Linked DNA regions of Kluyveromyces lactis. The protein of the gene in region 1 interacts with the protein of each later gene in a pairwise test. Links are inferred from orthologs where the notes say so. Each region holds a gene or a part of one and is shown on either strand. Other genes may lie near its edges. The genes, in order: MUM2 and VIR1.

What was found.
Region 2: the proteins of MUM2 (region 1) and VIR1 interact in binary tests that used the Saccharomyces cerevisiae proteins (3 or more experiments, as listed by UniProt). The link is inferred for Kluyveromyces lactis from reciprocal best matches to the Saccharomyces cerevisiae genes MUM2 and VIR1.

What each region holds. Positions count from the first base shown.
Region 1 is NC_006042.1:1,712,552-1,727,614, forward strand, and holds MUM2 (Mum2p), read left to right. Parts: upstream 1-9,182; coding exon 9,183-9,995; downstream 9,996-15,063. Other genes in the region: serine/threonine protein kinase AKL1, read left to right, coding at 1-1,024; TSC3 (Tsc3p), read left to right, coding at 1,396-1,650; KLLA0_F18656g (sphingolipid delta(4)-desaturase family protein), read right to left, coding at 2,037-3,191; EHD3 (mitochondrial 37S ribosomal protein mS47), read left to right, coding at 4,339-5,853; ubiquitin-specific protease UBP14, read left to right, coding at 6,187-8,499; 3-deoxy-7-phosphoheptulonate synthase ARO3, read right to left, coding at 10,457-11,575; KLLA0_F18766g (uncharacterized protein), read right to left, coding at 12,591-12,797; MRX18 (17-beta-hydroxysteroid dehydrogenase-like protein), read right to left, coding at 13,495-14,964.
Region 2 is NC_006042.1:2,075,778-2,092,334, forward strand, and holds VIR1 (Vir1p), read left to right. Parts: upstream 1-4,879; coding exon 4,880-7,207; downstream 7,208-16,557. Other genes in the region: KLLA0_F22198g (class I SAM-dependent methyltransferase), read left to right, coding at 1-1,557; OCH1 (initiation-specific alpha-1,6-mannosyltransferase), read right to left, coding at 1,723-3,084; PNC1 (nicotinamidase), read right to left, coding at 3,685-4,341; serine/threonine protein kinase KNS1, read right to left, coding at 7,671-9,770; KLLA0_F22319g (uncharacterized protein), read right to left, coding at 10,836-11,447; KLLA0_F22341g (uncharacterized protein), read right to left, coding at 12,230-13,189; FG-nucleoporin NUP49, read right to left, coding at 13,699-14,916; chromatin-binding exonuclease XRN1, read left to right, coding at 15,458-16,557. UniProt on the Saccharomyces cerevisiae protein: Component of the MIS complex, a complex that mediates N6-methyladenosine (m6A) methylation of meiotic mRNAs and is required for initiation of meiosis, progression through the meiotic divisions and sporulation.

The DNA.
Region 1 (15,063 bases):
CAGTTCACATGGTATAAGGGCGCCCTCTCCACTTCCTTCGTCACAACAGCCACAGAATACTGCGAATATGTCGGCTGCTAGACAGCATAAACAACATAATCCTTTTCAATCACAATTCCAGCCTGAAGTGGATGCATCTGAGTACTTTGATGCGAACAACGAACAATACTTCAAAGGCACTCCTCCTGCACATCCAAAAAATGAAAAGAATGTATCATATTTTCAACAATCTCCGATGAAGGAAAACAACCTAAATAACTTGAGTATCCAACAAAGTGATCAAGCCCGTACTTTTGATACTACAATGCCTATTTCTGATGTTCCAAATAATGGCAACGTCGTGAATGACGAATACCTGATTGACATTTCCCCACCCAGAAATAACGTACCCTATTCTACACCAGCCGCAATTACAGCCAATATGCAAGATCAAATCATTTCATCGCAACCTTTATCTCAATCTCAATCTCAATCTAAACCTCAGCCTCTTCCTCCACCCCAACCCCAACCCCAACCCCAACCCCAAGCTCAAGCTCAACCGAATACACGAGCTTCACTGAGGCCTGAGCGCCAGCAGCAAATTCCTGCTCAACCACGATTAGACCTTACTTTTGATCAACTTGATCTTTCAAAGAATTCATTGACTAGGCAGTCAGATACAGAACTAGAAGAAAGCATTATATCAGATGAAAGCATTTCACTCGATTTGAAGCAGCCGAAATTGAAGGAGCCTGTAACCCAACCTCGTCAAACAACATCTCCAGGGTCTGAGAGTAAAGAATTTCTGAAACCCGCCAAAGTTCCTAAGCGTCGGTCATTAGACCTAAAATATCAAGAAATCAATCTTTCGAATGATGATCAACGTAAGCATCGAAAAAATAAGACATCATTTTCCCGCACCAGTGTCAGAAGATCTGTAGAAATGGAACGCATGAAACATGACTCCAACTCTACATCTAATTCTAATGCAAGAGACGAAACCAAGGAGACGAAAAGAAGATCGTTCTTTGGTGTATTCAAATGATAGGTAACCAAGGGTAAAAGAAATTAGTTCATCCGATAGCATACCAAAAAAAACAACCTGAACTGATTGAAGCACCGATGTCCTTATTCTTTTAATTCAAGTCAATTATTGTATAAACGGTATGTACACACTTTGATTCTTATTGTCATTCGGCACGTCTCTCGACCTTTTTTAAACTTTACATTTCTTAAGGTTGATGAAAAACCAATATTTACATTGAAGAATATAAGAACAGAAGCAATACAGGTAAATTTTGGTTGATCAGTAAACGATATCCTGTAAGAAGGCGATTGTAACATTGAACTAAACTACACTGGAGTCAATTTTGACTTATAGAAGGGAATACGCTGAAGATAAGAAAAAGGTAGACAATGGCTGCAGAAAAGATTTATGAACCATACAAGAAGTCTCGAGGGACTATGATTTACACACCGACTAATCAGCAGATGTCGCGTGGTGGCATAGGAGAAAAGTTGGCTGATTTCGTGAAGAATCTATACTGGGTTTATTATATCCATCTTCCCTTTTATTTAATGACTTCACTTGATGCATTTTGTTTACACACTATATTTCTGGTTGTAGTCAGCCTGAGCTTATTTGGTTTATTGAAGTACATTTTCCTATGAAACTCGAAATTCAAAGTTTCTCAATCGAAACATTAGCATACAGAGAAAGAGGGAGCAAGACCTTTTTTAGCGCATTCGTTATCAACGAAAACTCCGATCTCTAATCCAATCAACACATATCCATGACAAAAAAATTGTCATTAAATTGAAGCAAACCATTTCTTATCACACTCCCTTTTAGACAAGTCCTGAAGGTTCGACAAGAGTAAATTTGTTTAGAAAGTATGGGCTATATAATCTATAAAAACGGATAAATATTTAGAAATGTATCACGGTTATTTCGCAGGTGATCATGACTTCATATCAGGAGCCGTTTTCCCGGTTCTCTTGTGTTTGTTTTTGATGTTTTTATAATATGTCTACGAGAATCACCCAGGAAGCATGAGTTAAGCCTTGCTTTGTTCGAACTCTTTATTAACTCTTTTCACTCTATTGTATAATACGACATCATCGTGGGTAATAAAATCGTACAAGACTTTACACCAGGAGGAGTGCTTTGGCAGATGATTATAAAATTCCGGACATAAACTGTTCAATTCCCAAAGTCGGGACCAAGCAACAAATGGGAAATCATGATGTTCATTGTGTAAACCGACATTCCAAGTGAAGAAGTTTAGAAGCCCATAATAAGAATACGTCTCCAATGCGTACTTTTTCCTGAATTCGACGTCTTCTCTTGAGACGTTTGATTCATCAGTGACGTTAATTGGTTGTCTTTCGGCTGGCGTTAATTTTAGCATCAGTTTACCACCGATGATAGCTTCTTCAATGTTCAACAGATAGTGTTCTGCAATGAAATGGCCAGAGCATGGATGTAGAGAACCGGCTAAGAATGAGGACATCAGGAAATAACAGTATGAATACCAACCAAAATTCGCGATCCATATAAAATTGAACATAAATTGGTACAACACGTTCAAAAGGTGGATGTAGGTGAATTTGATCCTTGTGACAAACATAGGTCTAAATGCGTAGAAGAAGATTTGGAATGTGGCAAAGAACGATTTCCCCAAGATATTGGATAAAAGCACAGCCTCAAACCTGGTAGGGATATCCGTGTCATAAATTTCATCTCCAAGAAACTTGTGATGCAATTGATGATATGGTCCAAATGACGCACTGTATGGGATACCAATTGGGGTATTTGTGAAAATGGCAAACAACTTGTTGTGGACAGGTTTCTTAAATGCTAGGTTGTGAGACAATTCATGGATTGCCAAGAAGATATTCTGGTTAGCGGTAGCACCGATGACATATGCAATGATGAAAAATTTCCAAGTAAAAGGATGGGTATTTCTTAAGTAATAGGAAAGCGATAACTGAAGCGACACAACACCAATGATAATCCATTTAGTCAAAGGTTCGTGGCCCATAAGTCGCTGCACTTCTGGATGTTTCTTAATTATGGCATGTCTTCTTATAGCATGGGGTTCTTTATGTGCGGACCAGTAGAAGTTATCAAGAACTTTAAAATCCTCATCTGCACTTGGAACGTCGACAAATTTCTCAGAGACTTTCAAATCTCTATGAACAATTGTCATGTCTAAGGGTCTTAATGAAGCTCTCTTCTTGTTAAGATAGCGATTCCGATGCTATATCAAAACTTGAAAGTAAAACAATGCCGATAAAAAAACAGGAACCGGAAACACGCTTGACAAAAATACAGTTCTTGATCCTTGATTCCAAGCCTGCCTAGAATCTTATTATTGAGTTTGATACTGATATTCTCAATGTAACCACACCAGTTGGATCAGGTATAAATCCTATGTTTATGCGTGACTATTTAAAAGAACTTAAGCTTTTAAAATTTAAAATCTAAAATCCTTAAATCCCGAAAAAGAACTGATCTTATGATGTGATAAATTCAAACACATACACAAACCTAAACGCAAGCAAAGCCTGCTAAGAAATGTGGTTTATACTTAGAAAGAAATCTGTAATTGGAATTACAATATATCTTTAAACGAACAAAAACCATGCGATGAGATGTTGCTGTTCCGTGTGCTCTCGAGCGATAGAAAGAAATTTTTCATTACGCTTTAAGGGAAATGGGAAAAAGTACGGTCACGTGAAACAAAGACACAGAGAGGGAACGCCCTGTTCTAACATCAGACACAGGGTTGGTGGTACCAAGGGCCCCACCAATATCTGTTTAACCATTAAATATGCAAAACTGATATATTTCGATCCAATCCTGACATACTCTAAATCATTTCAAATGTCAAACGATGTGACAAACCGCTGCAAGATTATGGTTCAATCTTATACAGGATTTGCTTCCACCCCGGATGAATGCAATTATACGCGTACATAAGTTCTGTACCCCCTTTGCTACCGACCTTAAATTGCTTCGCAGTTTGGCTATCTTGTCTTATTATCCCCTTTCAAGTTGGAGAATTGCTCAATCCATTAGGTACTGAAATTGTTCAACAATCGTAGTAGCTTTTTTTTTTTGGTCACTCACTATTCTCCATCTGCTGAAACAAATTTGAACCTGAACATTGAGTGGAACGAACTTGACGAGAACAGAAGAATGGTAGCAGTCTCCCTTTAATTGCTGCATACTTAACTTACGTTGATATCTTTGACCAAATATATCTATATATACCGAGATCTACAGCGTCTTATAATATCCTGGCGGGTTATCAACATCATCTATTATACCCATTTTTACCATAGCATTCCATAATGTTGAGGCATTCCTATTGTAGAGCACAGCAACAGTCATTGAGACACGTTTTGAAGACCAGATTGGCTGTTAATCAATTAAGATTTATGTCTGAAGTTAAGTTTAGAGTCGATTCCACTGCCAGAGTGGTCACTTTGGATAGACCAAAGAAATTGAACGCATTGGATGTTGAGATGTGCAGTGCCATCTTGCCCACATTGCAAGAATATGCCAAGAGTACCGTTAACAATGTTGTTATCTTGAACTCTTCAGCTAGTCCTAGGGCCTTCTGTTCAGGTGGCGATGTAGCTCAAGTAGCCAAGTTGGTTAAGGAAGGAAATTTTGATTACGCTAGAGAATTTTTCACCAAGGAATACTCGTTAAACTTGGCTCTAGCTACGCTGAACAAGCCGGTCATCTCTATCATGGACGGTATCACCATGGGTGGTGGTGTCGGTCTATCTACTCATATTCCATTCCGTATTGCTACTGAAAATACTCGTTGGGCCATGCCTGAGATGGATATTGGATTCTTCCCAGATGTCGGTGCCACTTTCTCTATTCCAAAGCTTACCACTGTTGGTGGTTCCAACGGACAATTGGCTCAGTACTTGTGCATGACTGGTGACATTTTGAATGGTGCCGATGCTTACGTGGCTGGTGTCGCTTCTCATTATGTGCCACATGATCAGATCTCCAACTTACAGGCAAGATTGGCTGAGTTACATTTGACTGAAGCCACTTCTCAATCGACTAACCGTGATGATGAAATTTTCGATGTTGTCAACCATGCTATTGAGGAATTCAACGCACCATTACCAAGAGACTACAAGTTCAAGTACACTGCTGATGAACTAAACGTCATTGAACAGTGTTTCGATATCGGTAACAGTTTGAAGCAAATCTACTCCAAATTGGATGAGGTCATTGCTGGAAAGACAGTATCACAAACAGCTCAGGAGTTTGCTGCAAAGACCAAGCAAATGCTAGCTAGCAAATCCCCTGTTTCTTTGGAAATCGCAAAAGAACTTTTCCAAAGAAACTCCTTCACTGACATTCAAACCGCCTTGACCCAAGATTTGATCACTGCTACTAAAATGTCAGAATCTCCGGACCTATGTGAATTTGCTGAGGCCACTAGTCATAAATTGCTAGAAAAGAACAAGACCCCATACCAATGGAAGATCAAAGATTTGAAATTAGCCCAAATATCAGTTCTAATCTCACAAAACTCCTCAAACCCGGTGTCGTTGATCCGCCCATCAAATTTAGTTACTTTCTCTGAATACCCACATCATAGCAAGTACCAATTACCAAACGAAACTCTAGTTGAGAAATATATCACAGGTGCTGACAACCATGGAAGACAAACTGCAGTTACTAAGAAGGAAGCTGTCAAATTCTTCCAACAATTGAACCCCGCCACGAAGAGTAAGACCGGCGTAGACTACTTGGTAGGTTTTATTATTGACAGAAAATGTGTTCCAAACCCAGATGGTTTCTTAAGATGGAAAACTTCCTCTGCTAAACTATAAAAACTATACATTTCGATTATATAGTACATCGAACACTTGTAAATACACTTACGATTAACCTACACGCAATAAATTTCATTATCCTCTCTTAGAATGGCATTGTTCTTCGGCAGTACATAAGGGTGCCATAAGTTAAATACAGCTCTAATTGATGCGTTCTACTTTAAAACTCGTTCATCTACCTAATTCTTTGTTATATTTTCCATAATTACGGCATGGTTTAAAATTTGAAATTACTGGAGTTTGATCCTTTAAAATGAGTGTGCAAGAAATAGAACATCAATATATAAGAACAAAGCTCCACAACGCATCATATCTGCCTTCAAATTAAAGATGTCTGGTTCTGATATCCTTGATATCAATGTACCCAGGGTCATTGATACAGATGACTGTGTTTATTGTTTTGAAACGATGAAGAATAAAGATGAGGGTCGTGAACATTCATTATTCATCTGTCTACGCTGCTTTCAGTCTTTCTCCGAAGAGCATTGGGAACTACATCAAGAGGTTGTTTTGAGTGAGACTGGTTCTACCCATGATCTGTATCTCAGAGTATTCAAGGTTCTAAAACCAAAACAAGAGCGAGAAGAAGCTGGCACGCCACCATTGGAAAAGAAATTAAAGCTTGAGGTTAAGGATGTGAATGAGGATGATCTATATGATACCCACTGGCTGCTTGGATCTGTGGAACATGGAGAATTGTTATCTTCAGACACTCCATCTATTCCTAAGGAATGGAGTGACAAAATTAGTGAAATCTTGCAAACAAAATCCTCATCATATCAAGATATGTCAAATACCTGGACACTTGAATTAAAGTCATGTCCACACATACAGACTTTCGACTTATCGAACTTGGAGAAGCGAGAAGGTGGCATTTCTCAAAGCTGTAACGACTGTGGTCTTACTTCTAACCTTTGGTTATGTCTCCATTGTGGAAACGTCGCCTGTGGAAGAGAGCAGGTTGGGATAGAGGGGTACTCTCATGCTTTGAAACATTATGAAAGCACAGATGGCCACGCTTTAGCGATAAAATTGGGCTCTTTGACAGCTGATGCAGCTGATATATACTGTTATTCTTGTGATGAAGATGTGAAATTCACCCATAATCTGCAGTTGCAGGATATCTTGAAGTTTTGGGAAGTCGAAGTACCAGCCAAGTCCAAAGAAAAGACATTGGTGGAATTGCAAGTGGAACAAAGTCTGAAATGGGATTTTCAAATGGTAGATTCACAAGGTAAAAGTTTAAAACATCTACAAAATGGTCCTGAATACGGTTTGGGCTTATTAAATTTGGGCAATTCTTGCTACCTAAATTCTGTATTGCAAGTTTTACTTAACGGTGGGATCAGAAATTGGAACCTAGATGGATTAGGATCCTTTCCTACAGATGTCGTCTATCCAAGAACGAATTTACACTGTCAACTAATCAAAATCAGAAATGCTATGACCTTACAGCAATCCAGATATCCTGAGGGTATTAAACCCACCACTTTCAAAAAGGTTATTGGGGGCTCGCATGAAGAATTTTCCTCTGGAAGACAGCAAGATTCCTTGGAATTTTTTTCCTATCTCTCTGATAAATTGGATAGAGAGATATTTAAAAATACTACTACCAATCCAAACGATTTGTTTAGATTCAACATTCAAGACAAGATTAAATGTGACAATTGTAACAAAGTTAAGTTCATGGATCAAGTTTCAGAAGTCATTCAGCTTCCATTAAGAAAACTAGACGGGGAGCAAAATCTAATTGACAGGTTAAATGATTACTTCAGTGGGGAAAAAATTGAATACCGTTGTCTCACCAATAAGAAAATTAACACTGCATCAAAAGTACCAGGGTTCTCTAGTTTCCCACGTACACTTATCATAAACCCGATTAGAATTGAGTTAATCAACTGGCAGCCAAGCAAGACATCAGAGCAAGTTGTGGTACCTGGTGTACGCGATGATGCTTTACTAGATATGTCCCCATTCAAAGCTACAGGAATTTGCGAAGGGGAAGAAGTCGAAGAAGAAGAGGAATCAGATTCCTTCCAATTCAACGAATTGTTCCTAGGACAATTAGAACAGATGGGATTCTCTCGCAATGCTACCAAAAGAGCATTATTTGAAACGGGAAACTCTGACCCTAATGCAGCCACGGAATGGTTGTTCCAGCATATGGAGGACCCTAACTTAAACGAGGCCTTTGATCCTCATGCTTCATCCTCAGCGAAAAATCGTGTCGATTCAGAAGCACTAAACAGTATGACTGCTATGGGGCTTGATTCGAAACTATGCCGCAAAGCTTTGATATTGAAGAATGGTGACGTCAATGCCAGTGTAGAATGGGTTTTCTCCCATATGGATGACGACGGGGAGTTACCTGAAGCTGAGGAATGGAAGGATCAATCCAGAAAAAGTTTTGGAATCCCAGCATCGTCAATTGCCTCTGCTAAGTATAAACTGACTGCTGTCATATGCCATAAAGGTAATTCAGTTCACAGTGGCCATTACGTTGCATTTATTAAGAAAGTGGTCGAAGGAAAAGAACAATGGGTTCTCTACAACGATGAAAAAATTCTCTTGGCCAACGATGAACCAAATTTCGAGGACATAGAAAAGAATGGCTACATGTTTTTCTTCAACCTTGAAGAATAAGAGGCATCTCCTCTCTAAATAAAAGAGACATGCATCACAACATGAAACTCTAAAAAAATAGGACTTGCCCACCTTCCTATCTGCATTGGGTATTCAACGATATGGTTGTGTGTCCATATATACATATATATCCTCGTACATGACTCAATTCAATACAGTATGGTGGGCTTATTCCTATTTATAGCGGTTCCTGTCTGGAGGCAGTTGTGTCCAGCCATTGCAAGTCACGTGAATATGCTTCATGATTCCCTGAAAATGAAACATGTCAGATCTGCCCTTAAAAATAAAGCAAACTAGATCAATTATTTACCAGTGACAGAACACTTGTTACCAAGTAAGTAGTCACACAATCTTCCAAAAACGATCAACAAACCATAAGTTATTTTAAAACCATGAATTCAAACGGATATATGTCTTACGTAAGTTTTTGCATACATTGGAGGATTGCCTACATGACACATTTTTAATCAATACTGTTTCTGTCTGTCCCTGTTTTCTATGAAACATGGAACAACCAAATTGAGACTATAAATGTTTCTAACTCATAATTAACCTTTTACTAACAGGTCAATGTTATCGTGTAGCAACCTGAATATAACCAACAGAGTTTGGATAACTCTTTCGCCAATCTGAATTTTGGTAGTTCTGACGAGTCCAAATTGTATGGCACAACCGCCAATGTCATGAACTCCAGCATGGCACATGGAGGTAGCTTCAGCTTACATGGGAACATTGATGGTATGGGCTCCCACTATAACCAAGGACTTCAGGGCCATTTGAGCGGATCTTCTACTCATAGGAGCAGCATGTCATCATATTGGGAACAGCCGCTCATAGAACAACATAATTCGCCCGAGATAGAGTCCTCGAGAGGCATTTCGTCAAACACGCATCCTGGAAGCTCTTCAAATAACACGGTAATAATGGACAGATCATCATATGCTAAAAGCTCAGGATTCAATACCACTTTCGACTCTGAAACAGAGCCATCATCAGACAACTTCAAACTTGAACTACAGTTGAAAGAGACACAGATAGAATCGTTAGAAATAGAGATAAAAAAATTGAAGGAGGTATTCAATCAGGGTTTGACTTTCAAGCAGCAAGAAGAGCAGAAAATGAAGAAATCAAAGGCTCTTACTTTCGATTCTGAAATCCAGATACCGGCATCCCTGGAAATAATATTTTGTAAGTTATCAGATTCATTAAAGAGAAAGGACCAAGAATTACAAGAAACAAAAAGACGACTAGAAGGAATAGTTACAGCGGTTGCGCTTAACCCTTCAAATTCTACTACAAAGTTTGGTAGATATGACGAAGAAGCTTTAGCACATAAAATGGTAACTCGATTGGAAACTTTAATGAAGGAAAACGAAGAAATGGCAAAAATGCTTAGTTATGGTCGAGTGAAGGAGACAAGTATCGAGCTCGAACTTTTACGTAAAGAAAACCAAGAACTCAAAGAAAGACTAAGGATTCTACAGCAAGAAAAGTAACACCAAAGTATAAGATCTTGATCCTTCTTTTTCTGATATTTTTGCTTTTTTCTGCCAATGACATTCTAGTTGGACGTTTTATTTGACGATCTAAAAACTTTCGAGAGTAATTCAAGATACATGTATGCTATATAACATCTACCTAGATTAGGTATACTTTGCTGACACACAAAAATGTAAATGAACCATTGATATTTATTTCATCCGACGTTAGAAACTTACGATTAGAGAAACTTGAACATACAAAGTGTAGACCTTTATGTGAAGTAATTTTAGTTGATTAAATAAACTGTATGCGGACTTGTCCTTGTAATATGTACATGAGGAGGCTCGGAAAATAAATATTGGTTGGCCGTTTATTCTTCCAGTTACCTGAGTTTGGCTATCTTTTCAAGAAGTGATTGTGTGTTTAAGAAGATTATGAGGTATTACAAAAACGATGCGGGAAAAGTGATTGTTATTCAAGCCTTTGAAAGAGCTCTTCTGTTTTTAACACCCTTTGCCAATAATCTTAGAACATCTTCAGTTGTTTCCCAACCGATACAGGCATCGGTGATAGAACATCCGTAAATCAACTTTTCACGGCCACCTTCTGGAGGAACGTCTTGTCTACCTTCGACTAAGTTAGATTCGATCATGACACCACAGATAGCATTTTGACCAGCTGATAGTTGTTCGTAAAGTGACTGAGCCACCTTTGGTTGATTTCTGAAATCTTTCTTTGAATTCCCATGAGAACAATCAACCATGATTCTTCTTTGGACACCTTCAGCATCAGCAACCTTTGCCTTGACCAATTCGGCTTGCGTCTTTTTTACGTTTTCAGCATCGAAATTAGTTCCAGTCTTACCACCTCTTAAGATAACAAAGGTATCTTCGTTACCTTCTGTTCCAACGATGGCAGTGACACCAGGTTTAGTAACAGACAAGAAGTAATGTGAGTGTGCAGCAGATCTCATGGCATCAACAGCAACTTGGAGACCACCGTCAGTACCATTCTTAAAACCAATTGGGAAAGAAAGACCAGAAGCTAATTCCCTATGTAGTTGAGATTCAGTGGTTCTAGCGCCGATAGCACCCAGAGAGAAACAGTCACTCAAAAATTGTGGAGAAATGGTGTCCAACATTTCACCAGCGATTGGTAATTTTTCAGTCAATCTGGTGAACATCTCTCTAGAAATTCTTAAACCTTTGTTAATTTGGAAAGAATTATCGATATCTGGATCATTGATCAAACCTTTCCAGCCAACAGTGGTTCTAGGTTTCTCCAAGTACGCTCTCATAATGATTAATAGATCATCGGATAATTCATCAGAAATTTTCTTCAAAAGGTCTGCGTATTCGTAGGCAGCCTTTGGATCATGAATAGAACATGGCCCAATAACTACAACTAAACGGTCGTCCTTCCCATTCAAAATGTCACATACTTTCTCTCTAGCTTCAACGATGATCTTTTTGGCCTTTTCACCGATGGGATATTCATGTTGTAATAAGTCCGGTGGGGTCAATGGATCATATCCCTTGATTCTCCAGTCTTCTAAACTACTTCTGTCCCCAATATGATCGTTAGTGATGAACATTTTTTACTACCCTGTTTTTACCGCAATGGTGGTATCAGTGAATGTCTTCTTGCCTCTATTGCTCTTCCTTTGGCAAATGGAAAAGAGTGGATGGCTCATCGAAAAGTGTTGTGATGATGTTCCATCCAATTTTTTTTTTCACTTTTTGTGCAAAGAAATCATGCCTATATACATTTCTGGAAAAATATTATGAGTAACAATTTGAAAAGAAAAAAAAAAATTTCCAGTAACGACACAGAGTTTTGCCGAACCAGAAACAAGGTACGAATATTTATCATAGTCGCAGGGTGAAGTACCGTTGCTTATACTTTAGGTGCAACAATTGAAAAATTTTGAAGTTTCAGTAAAAAGTACAGGTTAAATTTGTGCAATGTAATGTGTATTTGGTTCAAAGTTGGAGTTAGTTATACTGAATACGTCGGAAAAACTGCATGGCAACGGGTACTGCCCCAGGAATAATAAGTTTTGTGTCACGTGGTATGCGAGAATTCACCATTTATATCATTTCAAGGTTTTGTATTGGCCATAGTGTCTGTTATAGACCGGGGTCATTTCAAAAGCACATTTCCTGCCATTGACCATTTTTATCATTCACGAATCAAATTCATATATATGTATGGATATAGGTTTGTATGCACAGATTAGTTTCTAGAACGTGGCTATTTCTTCCCAACATATCGAACAGTAATAATCGAAGTTCATTGCGGGATGGGCAAAAGAAGAATAGTCAATGGTATATCACTCAATTGCCCATGTTGTTCATTCATGTCAACAGTTTGCCTTTGGATCGACTAAGGACCGTTAAATACAGAAATATATTAAATTGTTCGGTGATGATATAGAATGATATAGATTACATATAATACAGGTCGCTCTAAATACTGCTTCAATTATACTATTAACGATAGATTGAACAGCAGTGTACTGTGCGGTGATACATTTATTTTCATTTTTGTTTGTAGTTTTGTGTTATTCAGTTTGGATCCATCTTTCAAGAGAATGTTCAAGCATTGATCTAAGGCCCGCTTAATATAGAACAGCATAACTCGAACAAGCAACAACACATTAATGCTTTACAACACGTCCCGCAACACCCACTGTCCTGTCTTGGAGGAGCTTGCTGAACGTATACCGGCTGCTGAGGCTGTTGGTAGTACATTGGCTGTTGTTGTTGCTGATACACTGGTTGTTGATAGTACATTGGCTGTCGATGACGGCCCATTGTTGGAATTGTATTGTTTTATGTGATTTCCTAGATCTGCTTGCCTCTTTGGTTTGCTATTGAATGGATTAGGACTCCAACCGAACCTCTTCTCGACACTAAGTCGTCTCGTCAATACTACTTATATATATATATATATATATATATAACATGTAGGTTACGGCTGTAATAATGTTTCAAGTTCTAATCATAGGTATTTTCGATAGCTTTTTTCGAATGTTTCTTTTCTCCTCATTCGAAAGTTCTTTCTAAGCCTTGCGCGTCTGTGCACAAATCCTGCAGAAAGACTGAACAAGTGCACATCGGCAACTTAGCAGTAAAGGCTGAAAGATGAGTTCAGAAGCGGGATTCATGGTTTATTAAAGTTAGGCTTAGTTGTACAAACAGTGTAAGTATGAAATATGACAGGAAAAAGGAAAAAAAACCACTTGTTGGGTCATATTAGGGTCATATTAGGGTTAAGATACATTCGGACCCTCTGGTAATAAAATGCTGTTAAAAATAACTTACTGCGCTATCAGCTGACAATCAGCTATTTTTTTTGAAGTAAAGTATTTTACGGTAAGTTTGAGGGAAGTTATACCCCAGAAGATAAATCAATGTCATTGACATTTGCCATATCTAGTTATATTCTGTCCAAAGTTATACATCAGATGAATCGAAAGATCCAAAAAAAAAACATCCATGTGTAGTACGCCTAATAATGATTGAAGTTGGCTATAGCTTGATCAAACCCTTGTTCCCATTCCCACATATATTCTCCATCACCCTTACTTTTTATATACTGTACTCTTCTGAAATATTTCCAAGCACAGGTTCTTCCTAAGAGTGAATTGTTAAATGTCGTGAACGATTCGATGTCCTTGATTGTATTGCGAAGAGCGTCCTCAAATCTCCAGTGTTCCATCTTGTCACCACCTTTGTCAGCCCAGTAGTTTTTGTGGTCTTCAACAAGTTTATTGATTGCACCATTGTCGGGTTTCTTCCACGTCGTGGGTCTGTTTGGAATAGCGCCTTTATTGACCATAGGAATATATCCCCATTCTCCTCCATCTCCAGATTCAAATTGAAGAGTCCAGAAGAACCATCCCCAGGATGCCTGCCTCTGGAATATACTTGTCTGTGCTTGTCCATATTTCTTCACAAGATCATCTCTGTTTCCGGAAGTCTTGTCCCAGCTTTGACCATCAATGACACAGGAAAACTCAGCTACTGTGAAATCTGCCTTAGACCTGTCAAATTGCACTGAGGATGATAAATCTTGAATCAATTTTTCAACGTTCTTGGCCTTGTCCGAATCGCTGAAGCATCGATACACATGTGAGTCGATTATAACGTCGGTGAATAGTTTTTTTTCCTGAACCCAGTCAGACCACTGTTGAGGCCACCAGCCATCTGAAATAACCACCGGTAAGGTACTGTTGATAGAACGCACTTTTTCGACAGCCTTTTCATAATAAGATTTTTGTTTCTTACCGCTTTCATCAAATTGAGCTTCATTGACAATTTGCAATCCGATTAAATTTACATTTGATTGTAGATCTTGCACCACAAAAGGTATAACATTATCAACGATTGATTTGACGAAACTCGATTCATCAAAGAAAGTAGCAGAACCACAGCTTTGTTCGCCACTATGGGCATCTCCATTAGCTCCGCCTGGTAATCCATGTAAATCCAATAGAACTCCAATTTTATTCTCATTTGCCAAAGAAATCACCTTTTTCACTCTGTCCCATGGTTTCGACTTGGAATAAACGTCCTTCAAGCTATAGAACTTCTCGCCATTTTTCAATAATTCACCATTTTTGACATGCCAATATCCAACAGGCAACCTAATCGCAGTACACCCAACTGATCTTAACCAATTCCAATCTACACGATTCAAATATGAATCATAATGATCAGATAATTTTTTGGCAGTGTCATTTGAGTTGCTTGCTTTGACCTGGTTTGTGATAGCATCAAATTCATTACCACCACCAGCAGAAAATAGACTATGGAAGATATATTGCTCTAGTACGAACATTGATCCGAAATTAACACCATAATTAGTTCTGTTCTGATAGAAAATTCGTTCGTCTTTCAATTCACCTGGTTGAGGTAAGTCCAAGAACGTTACTTCTCTTGATTTATTCAAAACCTTCTGTTTTAGCTTATCGAACATGATTGGCTCTTTAATATTTGAATACTAAATTATGCTTCAAGACAAGCATCCGATATGTGATCCCTTCACAAAAACAAATATCTCTTGAACCGAAGTATC
Region 2 (16,557 bases), about 360 kb from region 1:
AGATTGTGGTTTGAATTCGACAAAGTGTTTTTGGATCCAGCTAGAAGAGAATATCTTGAATATAGATTCGGGACAATCAAATCATTGAATTGTTATAACTACAAGCTTGGTAAAATTCCCTACTACATTTGGTTGGGTTGCAATAAAGACCACGAACAACATCTTCAAGCTAGATTTGTTGAACTTGCACCAACATCTCCATACCTCGCACCTATAACCACGTCAGCTTCCTCTAACGCTCAGCCAATGACCAAAGCTATGATTGCAGCACTAGAAAATTCTAAAAAAGGTTTACCATATCCTTCTCTGTTCTATCAAAAGGAGCATTGGAGAGTGTACTATGATGAAGTGAACCCTGAGTACAGCCAATTTAAGAACAGTTATATATACGCATTCACATGGGAAGATCCTAGAGAAGATGTTAACATTCTTAATATTCAACCAGAAGATACCATTTTGGCTATTACCAGTGCTGGTGATAATATTTTGCACTATGCCACTTTGCCTAATCCACCGAAGAGAATTCATGGGGTGGATTTAAATCCATGTCAAGGACATTTGACAGAATTAAAATTAGCAGCGATTAGAAGCTTGAGTTTCACACAGTTGTGGCAAATGTTTGGTGAAGGTAAGATTGATAGATTCAACAATATTTTACTGAATAAATTGGCGCCATATCTTTCATCAAACGCATTTCAATACTGGTTCGAAAATGGAACGAAAACATTTGATCCTAATGGAGCCGGGTTGTATGACACTGGGTTCACAAAGTGGGCATTAAGACTTGCAAAATGGGTATTCAAAGTTGCAAATCTTACAGATGAAGTTAATATGCTATGCAAAGCTAAGACCCTAGAGGAGCAAAGATCTATTTGGGATAAAAAGATAAAGCCGGTCCTTTTCAACAGAGTAGTGGGTAAAATCCTCGTTGGAAACCCGTTATTTTTATGGAGTGCACTTGGAGTACCACGTAATCAAGCAAAAATGATGGGCTCTTCAACATTGCAATATATTATTGACACTTTGGACCCTGTTATTGATAATTCTTTGATTTCCGATGATAATTACTTTTATTATTTGACATTGAAGGGAAGATATTCGAGTAGAAGTTGTCCTGATTACCTAAAAGAGGGTGGATTCAAGTCTCTTTCTCGTGAAAGTCCTGAATCTCCTCTAGATAGAGTTAGACTTCATACTGACACGTTGAAGGATGTCTGTGAGCGTTTGTCGAAGAAAACAGTTTCGATTGCTATAATTATGGATCACATGGATTGGTTTGATCCACAAGGAACTGATGTTGACGAAGAAATTCAGGCTTTGTGGTTGGCCCTCAACTCTCGCGGTAGGGTATTATTGAGATCTGCCTCTAAAAGCCCATGGTATATCAAAAACTTCGAAAAGTTCGGCTTCAGTTGTAAAGCAGTAAGTGCAAGATACCCTGGAAAATGTATTGATAGAGTTAACATGTATGCCAGTACCTGGGTTTGTCAAAAAATCTCCACGGCATCTCAGAGCAACAACCGTAGATTAAGTTCTCTCGATTTGGAGAATAATTAAGGACCATAACAGGCAAACAATTTCATAAATAGAACTTGAAGATGAGATGTAATATAAATACAAATGTTGAAAAAAAAAAAAAAAAAAAAAGATACACAAATGAAATGAATGAAGTAATATGCTTATTTTGTCTCTTTGCACTGAGTTCGCTTTTTGCTTTCATCTTCAGTCTTTCCAACTTCCTTCAAAAATATGCTTAACAAATGCCATCTCGTCGTTGTCTTCTTTAGCGCCCATTGTTCTGATACCTGGTGAGAAAGAAGTAATCGGAAGTACCATGATGTCGTCCACTAGAATAGGCTCTGTCATCAATGAAAAGAATCCCCAGAACAATGAGGGTTTGTCGTTTTGTAAATTTTTAACAATGTCTTTATAGAATCTCATAGTTGTATCATGTTTGGATCCATGTTTGTTGATAACATTAAGATTATCATTGAAAATTAAAATGTCATCATTCTTCTGGATAACGTTATTAAGATACTGGAAAATAACATCTGAAAAAATACCTGGACCAGTCCAGTTCATAATATCGGTACCATCTGTATTTTTGGCGGTTTTCTTTTGTTGATGTTTGTAATTTTTGTTGAACTTCTTTTTATCCCTCATGTTGACATTATAATCATCTGCAATGTCTTTTAATACTTCAGCATCATCTAAAGGAATGCTGCTTTTAACATTTGCCACGCTCTCCAATGTTGTTGCGGTGATATTTGTGATCAATTCGCGCAATAATGGATGGCCAGATTTTGATTGTATTGTCCACTGACAGAATTGTATTCTCCTGGCGTACCACTCTGCCCAATCGCTTCTATCCGGATCAGCCTCGATACCAATGACAAAGCCAGGTTCTGAAGCTTCTAGCGTTTCAAGGTTGTCCAAGGAATTTCTATACCTTTGTGGATTCTTTAAACTAGAAAAGTAGGACTGAGAAGTCGATGGCCATGACGACAATGGCTTTAATGGGAACGTATCCATGTCAGAATATATACCACCTCTTGCATAAAGGATCAAGTATCTGAAAAAGTCTGCTTTAAGAATTGGAAGTGGCAAGGATTCAAAAGCCTTTATCACTTGTGGGACCCCACCATATAGCTGCTCTAGAAGTGGTATCATTTGATCATCTGTGATTAATTGGTATTGATATGGCGGTTCCTCGGATGCACTGAAATGTTTCCAATCATTCTGGCATTTTGAAATGGAAGAAACCTGTGACTTTGAACTGGGATCAATCTTCCAGGTCTGCCATACCTTTTTGGGGATGGGTACTCGAGAATCGTAGGGGAATTGACTAGCCAATTGAACTCGTAGATCCATCAAATGATCACCGTTATTGCTCGTACCTGCTAAGTCCAAGTTTTTCAAGTTCAAGTGATCCACGCGAGCTGTACTGGGAAGCACCGTGCCAATGCTGTTATAGAAATGGTGATTCACTTTCGCAGTATTCCATTGCACAGAAAACAATAAGTACAGTATCAGCACAATGACAATAATGTACCTCGTTCTTCTTGAAATCTTTGGTAACCCCATTGTGCCTGTAAAATTAAGAAAATGCCCACAAATTTAATGTTTTTGGGATGTTGTTTGTGAATCAAACGATTAATTCTCTCTATCGATCCCTAAGAACTTTTTATCATTCAATGAAGAAAAAAACAACAAACAGCAAGAAAAAACCAATTTTCTAAACAGTAAACCCAATTAAATTAATGTTTCGCACACGCTCCAACTGTTGTTAAAACCTACACCTCTTGATCTATGATACGAATGTATATATGTACAGAATGTATATATGTACAGAATGCGTTTTTCTTTGCAGTGGTAGTTAATCATTTGATGAGATTTCAGCATGAAACTATATATGAAAAACTGAAAAAAAAAGGTCTATACAACCTTAGCGAAGTAAAAAATCTAAAAAAAGCTTTTGTACTGGCCAGAATCGACAGACGGGCGATACGGTCGTTTGACCAAGAGAAAGAAGATGCAGAGGGCAAGTAATGGATTCAGGGTTCAGTTCAATGATATGAGTTCATAGAGGGGTTCATAAATACAATCAGCGGTCGACGTGTACATAGCGGGTATTATATGTCTTGTGTATAGTTTTGAAGTTTCGGTCCATATAACATGTCCAGATCAGATGGACTCTTGAACTGAGACCTCATTTTTGGCCAATTCCTGGATGAACGATTCAATCGATTGCAAATCATTTGCGATAGCTTTAGTATAATCCTTGAGTATAGTTACATGGTAACCAAGGTTTGCAGCGCTTATTGCTGAGTTTTTTACGCAGAAATCGAATGCAAGTCCGACCACATAGATTTCAGTAACATCATTCTCTTTGAAAAAGGCGTCAAGTTCAGTGTGATGATCATTCCAGATATCGTTGAATCCGGAATAATACTCACGATCCGATAAGTAACCTTTATTGACAATCTTATGTGGCACCTTGAGCTTTAAAATTTCAGCGAGTAATTTTTCCGGAACCTCAGAGCCCCATGTCTCCTGGACACAATGGACTGGCCATAACGTAGCACTTTGTTTCTCGGTGCTCCCAGGAACGGGTGAGTCGTAGGTGAATGAACTGAAATCTGGTAATCCATGGTTCTTTGCAAAAGAAATGTGGTCTGGCGGATGCCAGTCTTTAGTCATGGCAACACAGTCCCAATCCTGATCTTGCAAAAGCTGGATGACAGGATCGATGATAGTATCACCATCTTGAACTGCCAATGATCCTTTTGGTGGTAAGAAATCGTTCTGAATATCAATTACTAATAACGCACGGGCTCCCATCGTTAACAAATACGGAGTCTCGATTACTTAGTGATGTTTGTGTCTCACGTTTTTTCACCGTTCCTTTATTATCTCCCTAATTTTTCAAACGGTTTGTTTTTTCAGTGCAATTTTCCCTTCAAGTATGTGCTACTTTATATACTAAATACCTACCTAACCGAGAGCAATGTTCGTCGTTCCGCAGAAAATGAACAGTCAAGACAGTGGTTGGTGCTAATTGCCTGCCTTGTATACATTGGATACACTGCTGCTTTGTACGGCCGTAGCATTTACAATCTGAAACATATCTACTTTATACTACGAACTGATCAACCCTTTTTTAATTTTTCGATCCTTTTTTCGTTATTGTCTCATAGTATTGGGCGTCTAAATCTTGAGAAAAAAGAATCTTCTGAAACTATATAAACTAAGGGGTTTTATCTTGGATCTTAATCAAGAGAAATAAAGTAATGATTATCCCGAACGCCAGAAGTGACATTACTTCGGCATATTTTGGAGCTTTGATTGTAAAAAAAAGCAAGCTTTCTTTCTGGTAAAGATGGATGGCATATCCTCAATAAGTTTACAACCAATTCAGAATTTAGATGGCTTATTTCGGATATTGGCGGCTAAAGAGACAGACGATTTACACAGGATTAATGTTTGGTATAAATTACTTGAAATATTAAGAGTAGCCGGGAATCAAGCGGTATGTATCGATCAATCGGTATGTGACAATTTATTGTCCAGATTATTGGTTTCTGTTTCTATGGTTGATGCCGTTGAAGAAGGTATTGATTTGTTTGGAGTAGCGTTTACTTATTGTTCCGTAAATGAATCACTTCAAACACTTGTATTTCAATTCATTAGTCAACTTGAAGAAAATTCTAATTTGAATTTATTATTCCTTAAGACTTGCAGTTTACGACCCCATAAAGATCATGTTCCCGGGTTCTACGATATAATTTTCCAATTACAGACTTTCAAAACATTGGATGCAAAGGTAATGCGATTCTTAGACCTTAACTTGGGAGATGTCATATTAAATTCATGGATTCCGTCTTGGAAATCGTGGATCGACTCTTTTAGGAATAATTGTAAAGATTTTGACGTTGTTCATTTTTTGGTACAGGAAAGAATACTAATTAAAACTGTGCAACGTCATGAATTGGATATGGCAATTGCAAACTTTCAAGTTTATCCTAGAAGGTTGAAGGCCTTATTAAATATTAAGACGGAAGCCACACAATATCTATCTCTCAAATTCATTAGAAGATCCTTAAAGTTCTTTAAATGGTTGAATAAAGACTTGCAAGGAACTGTCATATCTTTTTCCAGCAATTCTATGAACAATCACACCTTCGAACAACTCTTTCATGATAATGGAGAATTCTATTTGCAAGTGATCATGGAGATTGTCGATCATCCGGAACTAGAACTCTTAGAGGAATCTCATCTGTTACTGTTACTAAGAGTTTCTTTGGGACATGTGTGGGAAAAGTGTATCATGTCAAATCAAATATCAGAAGTGCACCATACTCTTGGAAAAATGGGAACAACGCAGTCATTGCCGTCTTTAATTAACCTTTTGCAATATATTTTATCGAAATACTGTATTAATGTAATGGAATGCATTAATAACGGTTATGAAATGGAAACTAATTCCCTTTGGTACAGACAATTAACGAACTTGGCCATCCCAGCATGGTTTGAAGATTTGAGTCCAAAGATTCCACCAGTATCTAGGGCAGTATTTGGATTTGATGACAACAGGATTGAAAAAGGACAAATGATTAACAGTTTTCAAGAGAACTTTAGTAACATTTTTGAGTGTATGCAACTCACTTTATCTTTAAATGGAGCACTTTTAACCTACTATGGAAATATTGGCTTAAATCCACTATGTCTCGGATCGCAAGCTATGTCAAATTGCATTTCTGATGTACAAAATAAGACAGTATCAATGCATTTCACAATTTACTTCGTTCCTCTTTTTACAGTGCTTTTGTTATCCCAAAAATTACTCGAGACTGACGGCGCTAGTAGGACTTTTTTGAATACTGAAGCAGCTCTAGTAGATGCAAAGCAGTTATTCAGGCAATCTATTAAACAAATTGAGTGTATCATTGACAATCATGGGAACAATGGATTGTACCATCTTATCAAGTTTGTGTCCCAGGTAAGCATAGAAAGTTTGCTCTTTCAGGACATCTCTATGATAATATTACGCCATATCTTCTTTGAGAGTGATGGACAATGGATCTTACAGTTATGCTTAGCAAATGAACTGACAACTCATGGTTTGCTTGATTACATCGTATTATGGAATGATGGATCAAAATTGTATAGTCCTTTCTTCACAGAAATCTTCAAGCAACCGCAACCAGAAATCCTTAGAAAAACAGTAGTACTTGGTGACTTGTTTGAGCTACTTATGGAAAAAACGAAACAACCATCCAAGGAAGGCATTTCACATCCTAAGGTAAGATCAAAATTCAACACTAACGCAAGCTCTTTCGTTCCACAAGATACTAGTATGCATACCCGCACACCGAAGAAGATTGAACAAAGTCCACAATATCCCGTGCATCCTTCTCTCAGCAGCTATGGATTCAAACCTGTCAGTGTTAGAACAACATCCGGGGTTTCTGCAGGTATGAATACTTCGTTTGCAGATTGCTTTTCGGGAGTGTTTAACAGCGATCAGCAATCAAAAGCCCAGATGGTGCAGAACTGGAGCTCCCCACCTCCAGTGTCACAATACAATCAGGTAAACTCCACGAAACTTGTTAATACTGGCAAAAGCTACATCCTAGGCGGGCATAATAGAGCAGTCAATAATAGCAGGACTAAAAGTGTACATGTTGATGATTTTGAGCAGCGTTGAATAACTAACTCGCTATAATTCGCGGCAAATTGAACGACAGGAACGTCAAAAAATGACAAATTTCGAGTAAGAAAGATCTTAATCACGTAAATTTGATTATAAAATCATAGAATGCTGCGATCAACGGACCCTTACGATCTCTCGCCATTTTGATTTATGCTCCCTCTTTATAACCAACCATTTTAGGAGAGAACCTTGAAAAGAATAACGAAATGATTATGAGACGATAGGTAAAAAAATTCATTCAGTAGATAAAGTATAATAATTACAAAAAAAATAAAATAGTAGATTGAATAAGAATGAAGTTAACTTGAGCTAGAAAAACCGTCTGTACTCAAGCGAATTAATCTTGGAAGAAATTGGAAGGAAGAAAAGTATAAGTTCGACCCTAATCCTAATGTTGCACAAACATGATGAAAAAATAAAAAAATAAGAGAAATGAAAGAAAAAAAAACATAATTACCTATAATCTTCCGTAGTGTGAAATACCTTCATCTAAAATCCCAATGTTGAACCACTCATGTTCAATCACTTCCTTCGCCGTTATTCTTTTCGTTGGATCAAATTCAAACATCTTACGACATAAATCAACGAAATAATACCAAAACATGAAAACGTTCTTATCAATATTTCTGGAATCAATATTTTTTGATAAAATTAGACGCCAGTTGTCCTCTAACTGCATATCCCAGTGAATCTCCAGCCAAGATCCATAGTCCATTTGTAACTTTTTGGAGATAAAAACATCCAGCCTGTCACATGTTGCCAAAATTCTTTTCCATGACTTTTCTTTGGTAATGACTTGACCTTTTGAATTCCGGAGAGGCCACCTTAATTCTCCTGTTTGTCTGTCGAAATATTTTACAACTGAAGTTTGCAAATCAGTTGGGATGCTGCCATACTTGTTTTCAACTTTGAAGAACATTTTTTCAACCATCTTTTTAGGGAATTTTTCATTGTTGATACGTTGCATCATAGCCATATGCTCTGTATTTTCATGAATTGGATAGAGTGACTCGCCAGTAACTAGCTCAACCAATACACATGCTATTGACCAGATATCGCATGGGAAAGACCATCCAAGCCCTAAAACAATTTCAGGAGCTCTGTAGTGACGCGTTGAAACGACAGGTGGATGGTATTCATTGTAGAATACAGCACTTCCAAAATCAATTAATTTCACCTCAGGATTTATGAGTATTTTTCTCTTTCCACCGCTAGCCAGTTTCCTTCTTTCAGTTAAAGAGTCTATGATTTCCATTGGAAGTGACTGTTCCACGCAAGTTTCATCACATATCAATATATTCTCCGGTTTCAAATCAGTATGTATTATTCCTAAATCATGCAAGAAGCACACAGAACGTACCAACTGTTTACCGATAGCTTGAACATGGGAACCAGGGAACCTTGCATATCCATTGTTTGTCATAAAGTCATACACGGACCTGCCGTATAAATCAGTGACCAAGCATATGTGATTCTTGTAATCGAAGAATTCTCGCAACAGCAAGCATTGATATTGGCCACTCCTGTCATTTTCCTTTATAGTCTGCAAGACACGTAGTTCTGTCTTTGCAGCTTGCCGATATCTATCGACAGCTCTTATGATTTTGACAGCAACAGTGATATCGTTTAAATAGTCCTTGCACTTTACCACTTTCCCAAAAGTACCCTGTCCCAAAAGCTGCATAGCCTGGAATCTGTTCTTGGCAAAAATGTCATTCTCCTGGTATACATAATGACCTTCCTCATCAGTTTTGAATCTATCCATAGAACGTAATTTGTCCTGATGGGAGCCCAATAGCGGAGATTTCTTTAAAATTTTGGTGAACCTGGATGGAGATTTCGAGGCAGAATTTGAGATGTCAAAGTTCTGGTCCTGGTTATTGTTTTGCATACCACCATTTTTTCCCAATCTGAAATCAGCAACAGGTACCGGAGACAAAGATCTGATCAATGGCAATTTAATCAACTTGTTCCCATCAACAGTTTGCGTCGTAGTACCGCTGACATGCAATAACTCGTCATCATTCTGTGTCCTCCTATCCGTATTTCTGGGTTCGTAGAGTAGTCTTGCATGCGGTAATTGTGGTAAAGAGACTGTTCTTTGCTTCTTTACCTTTTTGGCACTCGTATAGTTGACACTATTGACAAACTCCACGGCACTGTCGTCCAAATCTACAAGATCAAATCCGTTCCCGTTTTCATTTTGTTTACTATTCCTATTATTAGCAGCGATACCGGTAACAAAAGATCCTGAATTCTGGCCCTGTCTGTCAACATCCAACAGAAGCGTGCCCCTTAACGAATCTGCCGTCATTGGATCGTTGTTGGATGACATAAATTCCTCGATGAACGGATTCTGCATCCGTCCAGTATTTGAAGCAGAAGACGTTGAGACATCTGCAGCTGCGGCTGCGGCTGCGGCCGCAGCTGCCGTCATTATAGGATCTGACATGTGTCCATCCATATATTGTGATCTCAGTGTCGAGCTTTCATTAATGCCTTCCAAAGTCCTGGTTCTTTTCCTCTTGGCAGCAAAATTCTTTGAGGCCATCGTCATAAATTAGTTTCCTGCGGTGGAAGAAGCAATTTCTCAATTAAAAAATGTGCACTTGTCCTATGCTTTTTCTTTACTTTAGAAAGGAGACCTTGATCCCTCTCCTGCAATGTTATTTTATTTTTAAATTGCTAATCTTTCAATGATAAGCGCAAATCCCTCGTCCAGCTAACACTATACCTCGATGAAACGTACCTGCTCTCTCTTTAAATGTCTGTTTAGCTTTGCTGAACAAGTGGTCTGCTAAAATAATACTTGGCAAACACCGTCATTTATATATAGTATATGTATTTATTCTTGGAGATTAATTAAATTAGTGAAGAATCATGGTTTAATCATTTCGAGGGGAGAATCCATCAGAACGGAAATTTTACCCTGCCAACCGATGATTCAAAAAAAAAAAAAAAAAAAATTTGGCAAAAACACTCAAGTGCAATTTTTTCCCAAGAAACGGCAGTAAGAGGAGAAACAATACGTCGTTAGATGCAATACGGCTACGTGGGTTATTGATTATTAAACGTTGGTTGTTGTCCATATATAGCTATAAAAAAGAACGTGGTTTGCTAGCTTCTTATGAGCGTGCGAGCAAGAGTTGCATGGGCAGCCAGCCTAACCTGATCCCGATAAACCTCAGCTACCGAGCTGCTCTCTTCTGAAGCGGCTTTGCAAGGGTTACGGATGATGGTGGTACGTAATTATAAAGTGGGTACGTCTTTGCTGGGTGACTGGAATTTCATGTTTCTGTAAGATTCTCGGGAGGGTAACAATAATGATTATGATAACACCCAAGGCCGTTCAACAGGGTCTGGGCCCTCCTCGAAACAAAACAAGTTTTGGGCCATGTATCATCATTATTTACGGATGTGTCGTGTGACACTGAGATCTTCGCTCTTATTTACCGTAATATACATATACCAATGCACATATCTGTGTGCTTTATATGTATAAATATGTAAATATAAAATATACCATCCTAATTACCTGTATTTCATTCTGCATCATATTGTAGTATACGATTTGTATAAAAAAGTTCAAAAGCTTATTATCCTTTAAGGTTAAAGATAAAAATCAACACTTGTGGCACTTGTGTTTCTTCTCGTGTCTTCGTAAATTGCTCTTGACATTGTAGCTCTTGTTACAATCAAGATATGTACATTTGAACGGTTTCGCCTGTGAATGCACCACTATATGTGTTTTCAAAGTGCTTGGACGAGAGAATTCTTTCCCGCAAATGTGGCATTTCTTACAGTGTATTTTCTTCTTGTAACGAGCCCCACGTCCTTGCTTTTGGTTCCATTCGTGGATGTACCCGGGTTCTGGTCTATCGTGCAGTAGCTTTTCTTGCAATTGTTTGAAATCTAACTCAGACAATGAATCTGTGGAAGAGCATGAAGAGTCTGAGTGGGCTCTGGGCCTAAATATTGCGTCACTTGTGTCTATCTTATTTTCAGCTTTTACTTTTTTCTCATCGGCAATGGTCAACGGGGGACTTATCGAGAGTTTAGTTATTGGAGGTAACGTCCTTGGTGTATCATCGAAATTGTCTGTGTCTGTGTAGTTTACTAAGTTACGAATGGATGGAAGAAGCGAAAATTGGTTACAACTTAGTGTCGCTCTGCCTCGATTTTCTGCCATTTCCTTTGGGCTCTTGGGTAGTGGTAAAATCATCTTCTTATCCATTATGTTTGGTTTTATTTTTATGTTATCTTTTTATTTGCGTCAGCGTGTGCTGATCTTATCCCACGGCCTTTTACGTCTCCTCCGCTGGTCAACTCCCGTAAAGAAAATGCTTTTTATATGCATATATATATATATATTTATACACTGTTACATGGCTTCAGACATGTGCCAAGCGGGTTTACTAGAAACCTACCAAGAATGTCACTAGATTGCCGTTATGATTGGCATATATAAAACACGTTTTTCCCTTGCTCATGACTCGTGGTCCCTCGAGTGGAAGAGAACAAAAATTAATTCCCAACAAAGTACGCAGTACTTTCCAATCATTACCACGTGAACTTGAACCCACATGCAGCACCATGCACGGTCTTTTCTTGATAAAGACCGTGCTTTTCTAACAATTTCCTTTTCGTTTTACTTAAGATGAGGTACCTTATTAACATTACGCAGATCCATGTTCGGCGTATTTGGTTCCACGTGGGAAATTCACGTGTTGGCTGATAAGCTAGTTATCATTTCGGGACGCCCTGGGTTTTTTAAAAAGGTCTGAAAGTCATTTGCATCCCCGAAATCTGATTTTGGACGATTACCCCTCCTGTTACCCGGACATGCGACGGGGAAATAGACATGATCTGGCCCAAGATGTTCCGTCATAACTGGGAGAGAACCTCTGTGCTGTAGGCCTGATGAAGACATACTTTAGAAACGAAATACACATACATATATATCCTGGAAAAACTGTTTACGTATGGTATATATCAAATTTTACCCTGAATCACACATCACATTCTTACCCTTAAGAGATCAAGTATTTTATGGTATTGGTGGCGAAGCTTATCAGAGGATTTGTACCAAATCCTAGGCACGGAAAACTTGCGCAAATGTGGGAATTCAAGTGGGTACATTTTCCTCATTTTTCTCTGGTACCTATGGATAGCAGCTTGTAAATTTACTCTGAACTTGAATAGTGATTGTCGTTGACGGGGCCATTGCGTCTCCTTGTAGCTATCGAATCTCTGTTTAGTTAGCGAGTAGAAAGCAGTGATCCGGTCTTCTGCTGTTTCCTTCGCATTCTTCGTCCATTCCTTAACGCTTTCGAAGTTTTCACGCCTCACCGTTGTACTGACCCAGTTAGAAGTTGCTGCATAAGTAAATTTCAACTTCTTCTGACATACTTCGTAATATTGCTCAAGAGAAGGGAAGCTAGGGTAATATGATGCTAAAGTGGATGGAAGTGGCGTTTTCTTCACGTATGCTGCTTCGTATGCATGGGCCCTATGGCCCATGTATGCATCAAATTGACAAGCCAATCTGTCCTTGAAAGCTAGTGAACTACACTCTAACTCGTTGTTTTTAGTAAAACTGTTAATATCACGGATGAAAACGGTCAAGAGGCCCATGTTGATGAGACCGGCCACCAACGAAATTCCAAGAATAACGGATTGAAGTTTCGTCAAGCGCGCTGTCCATGTATTGCTCCTTGCTGTTGTCTTTGCAGGCGCAACGTTGGATAATGAATCCAGTGGCGTGGATAACGACGTAGTATTGTTACTATGATTAACGCTCCCTTTCTTATTCTGCAACACTGCGGAATCCTCTAAGTCGCTGCTTGTCACCGATAAAATATCGTCCATTTCACCAGCGTCAAGATCCCTGATGGAATATGTACCGTCCACACCACCAACGACCCCCCAAGTGTCATTTCCATCCACTGATGTACATCTATCTTTTACTTCAGCCATCGCTTCGCTTTAATCAAAAAAAAAATCTCCTAGCTCCTTGATTTTACGCCTGAAGCTTGATCTACAATAAGTTTATACTGACAGAATTAATACTAAAATGTCACACTTAATATGTCTCTGATATTCCAATAATGATAGTTAGTTGCCAGCAACGTTCTAAAATTCTTATCAGTCCTATATATATTTCTTGAGTATAATCACAAAACCAGGACGCCTTTCCTTTGTTCTTTGTTTCACATTTTCGTTTCCGGGAAAACTGTTACTCCTTGTTAACCATTTTTTAATCCTTATTCCTTTTATATTTGTCGTATCAAATTCCCTTTTTTCACAACTCATTGACCTAAATAAGGAAGGGAAGATAAAGGGAGCCTGAGAAGAGAAGACTGCGAAGAGACAAGTGGCAGATGCGGTGCAGGTGCAGTGCATGTGCAGGAGTTAGTGATCTGCATCAATAGGTAATATGTTCTTGAACGCTTTCTTTTTTTATAGTATTAAAAGAATAATATCGACTATTTAACTATTATTTCTTTACACTTCTGATGCAGTTCTGCTATTCTTTCAGCTGTATCCATGAATAGTTTGAACTCTTCGATTAGAACGCTGACGATAATGTTAACACCGACCTTGGTATCATCATCTTCGGATGAATCGTTCCCAAAGAGATCATTCTCTAGACCTGACACTGCGTCGTCAATATTGCTTAGAGTGTCGTTGTAGTCATTTAATTTGTGTTTGTATGTGATTAATTTTTCCTGGAAGAACTTATCTATCTCAACGTTTGATATTTTGAATCCCTTACTGACTAGTTGTTGCAACATTATAGCAAAATTTTCCAATTGTTTAACATCTTTATCCACTAGTGTCTTGATGGCATCGATTCGTTTCAAATCTGATGATAGTGATCTTGTTGCGTTGAAATGCAATTTTTGTAGATACTTGATGTCACGAGGGATTGAATCCAATAGTTCAGTTTGATCTTGTAGATCAGCTTCAAGATGTTTGGATAAAGACACTTGCGTTCTAATGAATTGGTCCAATTGTTCGATTTCTTGACGAATTTGAATCGGAAGCTCCGATATCTTGGTCATCGGCGTGATAGCTAATTGGTTAATGAAATTAATGGCACTCTGTTGAGTCTGTTGTATCTGTTGTTGTGGTGGCTGTTGAAATTGATTTTGTGTTTGTCCAAACATTCCTAAACCAGATTGTTGGGATTGCTGTTGTTGATTTCCGAATGGGCCTCCGGTAGTTGGTTTGGATCCAAACAATCCTCCACCAGTTGCAGAGCCTCCGAAACCGGTAGTCTGTGGTTGTGCTGGTTTGGATCCAAATAATCCTCCTCCAGTTCCAGAGCTTCCAAAACCAGTGGTCTGTGGTTGTGCTGACTTATTCCCGAATAAGCCTCCGCCAGACCCGGCTCCTGAGTTACCAAATAGGCCACCTGTGGAGCCAGTGGCTGTATTATTAGAACTTCCGAAAAGTCCTCCTGCGGTTTGGTTCGTATTGTTGTTGGTGCCTGCTGGATTACTGCCAAATAATCCTCCGCCAGTCTGTGTCGCTGTATTGTTATTGTTTCCAAATAACCCTCCTCCAGTGTTACCTGATGTGGCATTGTTATTACCAAAAAGACCACCGCTAGTGCTTTGCTGGTTGCCCGTATTCCCAAATAATCCTCCTCCTGTGCTTGGTCCTACTGGAGGACCTGTAGAAGAAGAACGGCCAAACATTTCGTTTCTATCAGTAATAAGAGTATTAGATATTTACACGCCGTAAATTCAGTTAATTCAACTTACTGTTCAGTATCAATTGGTGTCTCAATTCTGCTCTCTCCATCTTTCTTTTTAACCTCATCTGTTTACTTTCTCAGTTTCCATATTCAAAATGTTTTCAACTCTTCCATCAAAGAGTATAAAACAAGAAAAAAAAGCTTGAACTTATGGATCCGGGTAACCCATAAACCTCGTCTCAAAAAATTTTGCCACCACCAAGAAAAATATTCCGATTGAACATTGGAAAGAATTACCAAATTACCTTAACGATTATGTTACTAAACAGTAGCTTTGGTTAATGTACTTTCAGGGTCTTTCATCCATATCAGGGTATATTATAACAATTCACTAAAAGTGGTTACTCATTGTTCGGCAACGTATACTACTGGTACTATCCAATCCCAGTTGTTGTTGATCTTTTCTATTGTTGGAGGAAAAAAGTCAGTAAAGCAAACCTCAGAAAGTGTTCAATTAATTACGGTTTGTGGCTTAACTAAAAATGGGTATTCCAAAATTCTTTCATTTCATCTCTGAGAGATGGCCTCAAATTTCTCAATTGATCGATGGATCACAGATTCCAGAGTTCGACAATTTGTACTTGGATATGAATTCTATTTTGCATAATTGTACGCATGGTGATGGTAGCGAGGTGAATTCAAGACTATCAGAGGAAGAAGTTTATTCCAAAATTTTCAGTTATATTGATCATCTTTTCCATACTATTAAACCAAAACAGACATTTTATATGGCAATCGATGGTGTGGCCCCAAGAGCAAAGATGAACCAACAAAGAGCTCGTAGATTCAGAACTGCCATGGATGCCGAAAAGGCTTTGCAGAAGGCCATTGAAAATGGTGACGAGTTGCCTAAGGGAGAGCCATTTGATTCCAACGCTATTACCCCAGGAACAGAATTTATGGCAAAATTAACCGAGAATTTGAAATATTTCATCCATGACAAGATCACCAACGATACCAGATGGCAGAACGTGAAGGTTATTTTCTCCGGGCATGAGGTTCCTGGTGAAGGTGAACATAAGATCATGGATTACATCAGAGCAATTAGAGCACAAGAGGATTACAATCCAAATACAAGACATTGTATCTACGGGTTAGATGCTGATTTGATCATCCTAGGTTTATCCACCCATGATCACCACTTTTGTTTATTAAGAGAAGAAGTTACTTTTGGTAAACGTTCGTCTTCTGTGAAAACTCTAGAAACACAGAACTTCTTCTTGTTGCATTTGTCTATCTTGAGAGAATATTTGGCATTAGAGTTCGAAGAAATAACAGATTCTGTGCAGTTTGAATACGACTTTGAAAGAGTATTAGATGATTTCATCTTTGTATTATTTACCATCGGTAATGATTTCTTACCAAATTTGCCCGATTTGCATTTGAAAAAAGGTGCATTCCCTGTGCTATTACAAACTTTTAAAGAAGCTCTCCAACATATGGATGGTTACATTAATGAACAAGGTAAGATAAATTTGGCAAGATTTTCCATTTGGTTGAAGTACTTGTCCGATTTTGAATACCTTAACTTTGAGAAGAAAGATATTGACGTTGAATGGTTCAATCAACAACTTGAAAATAT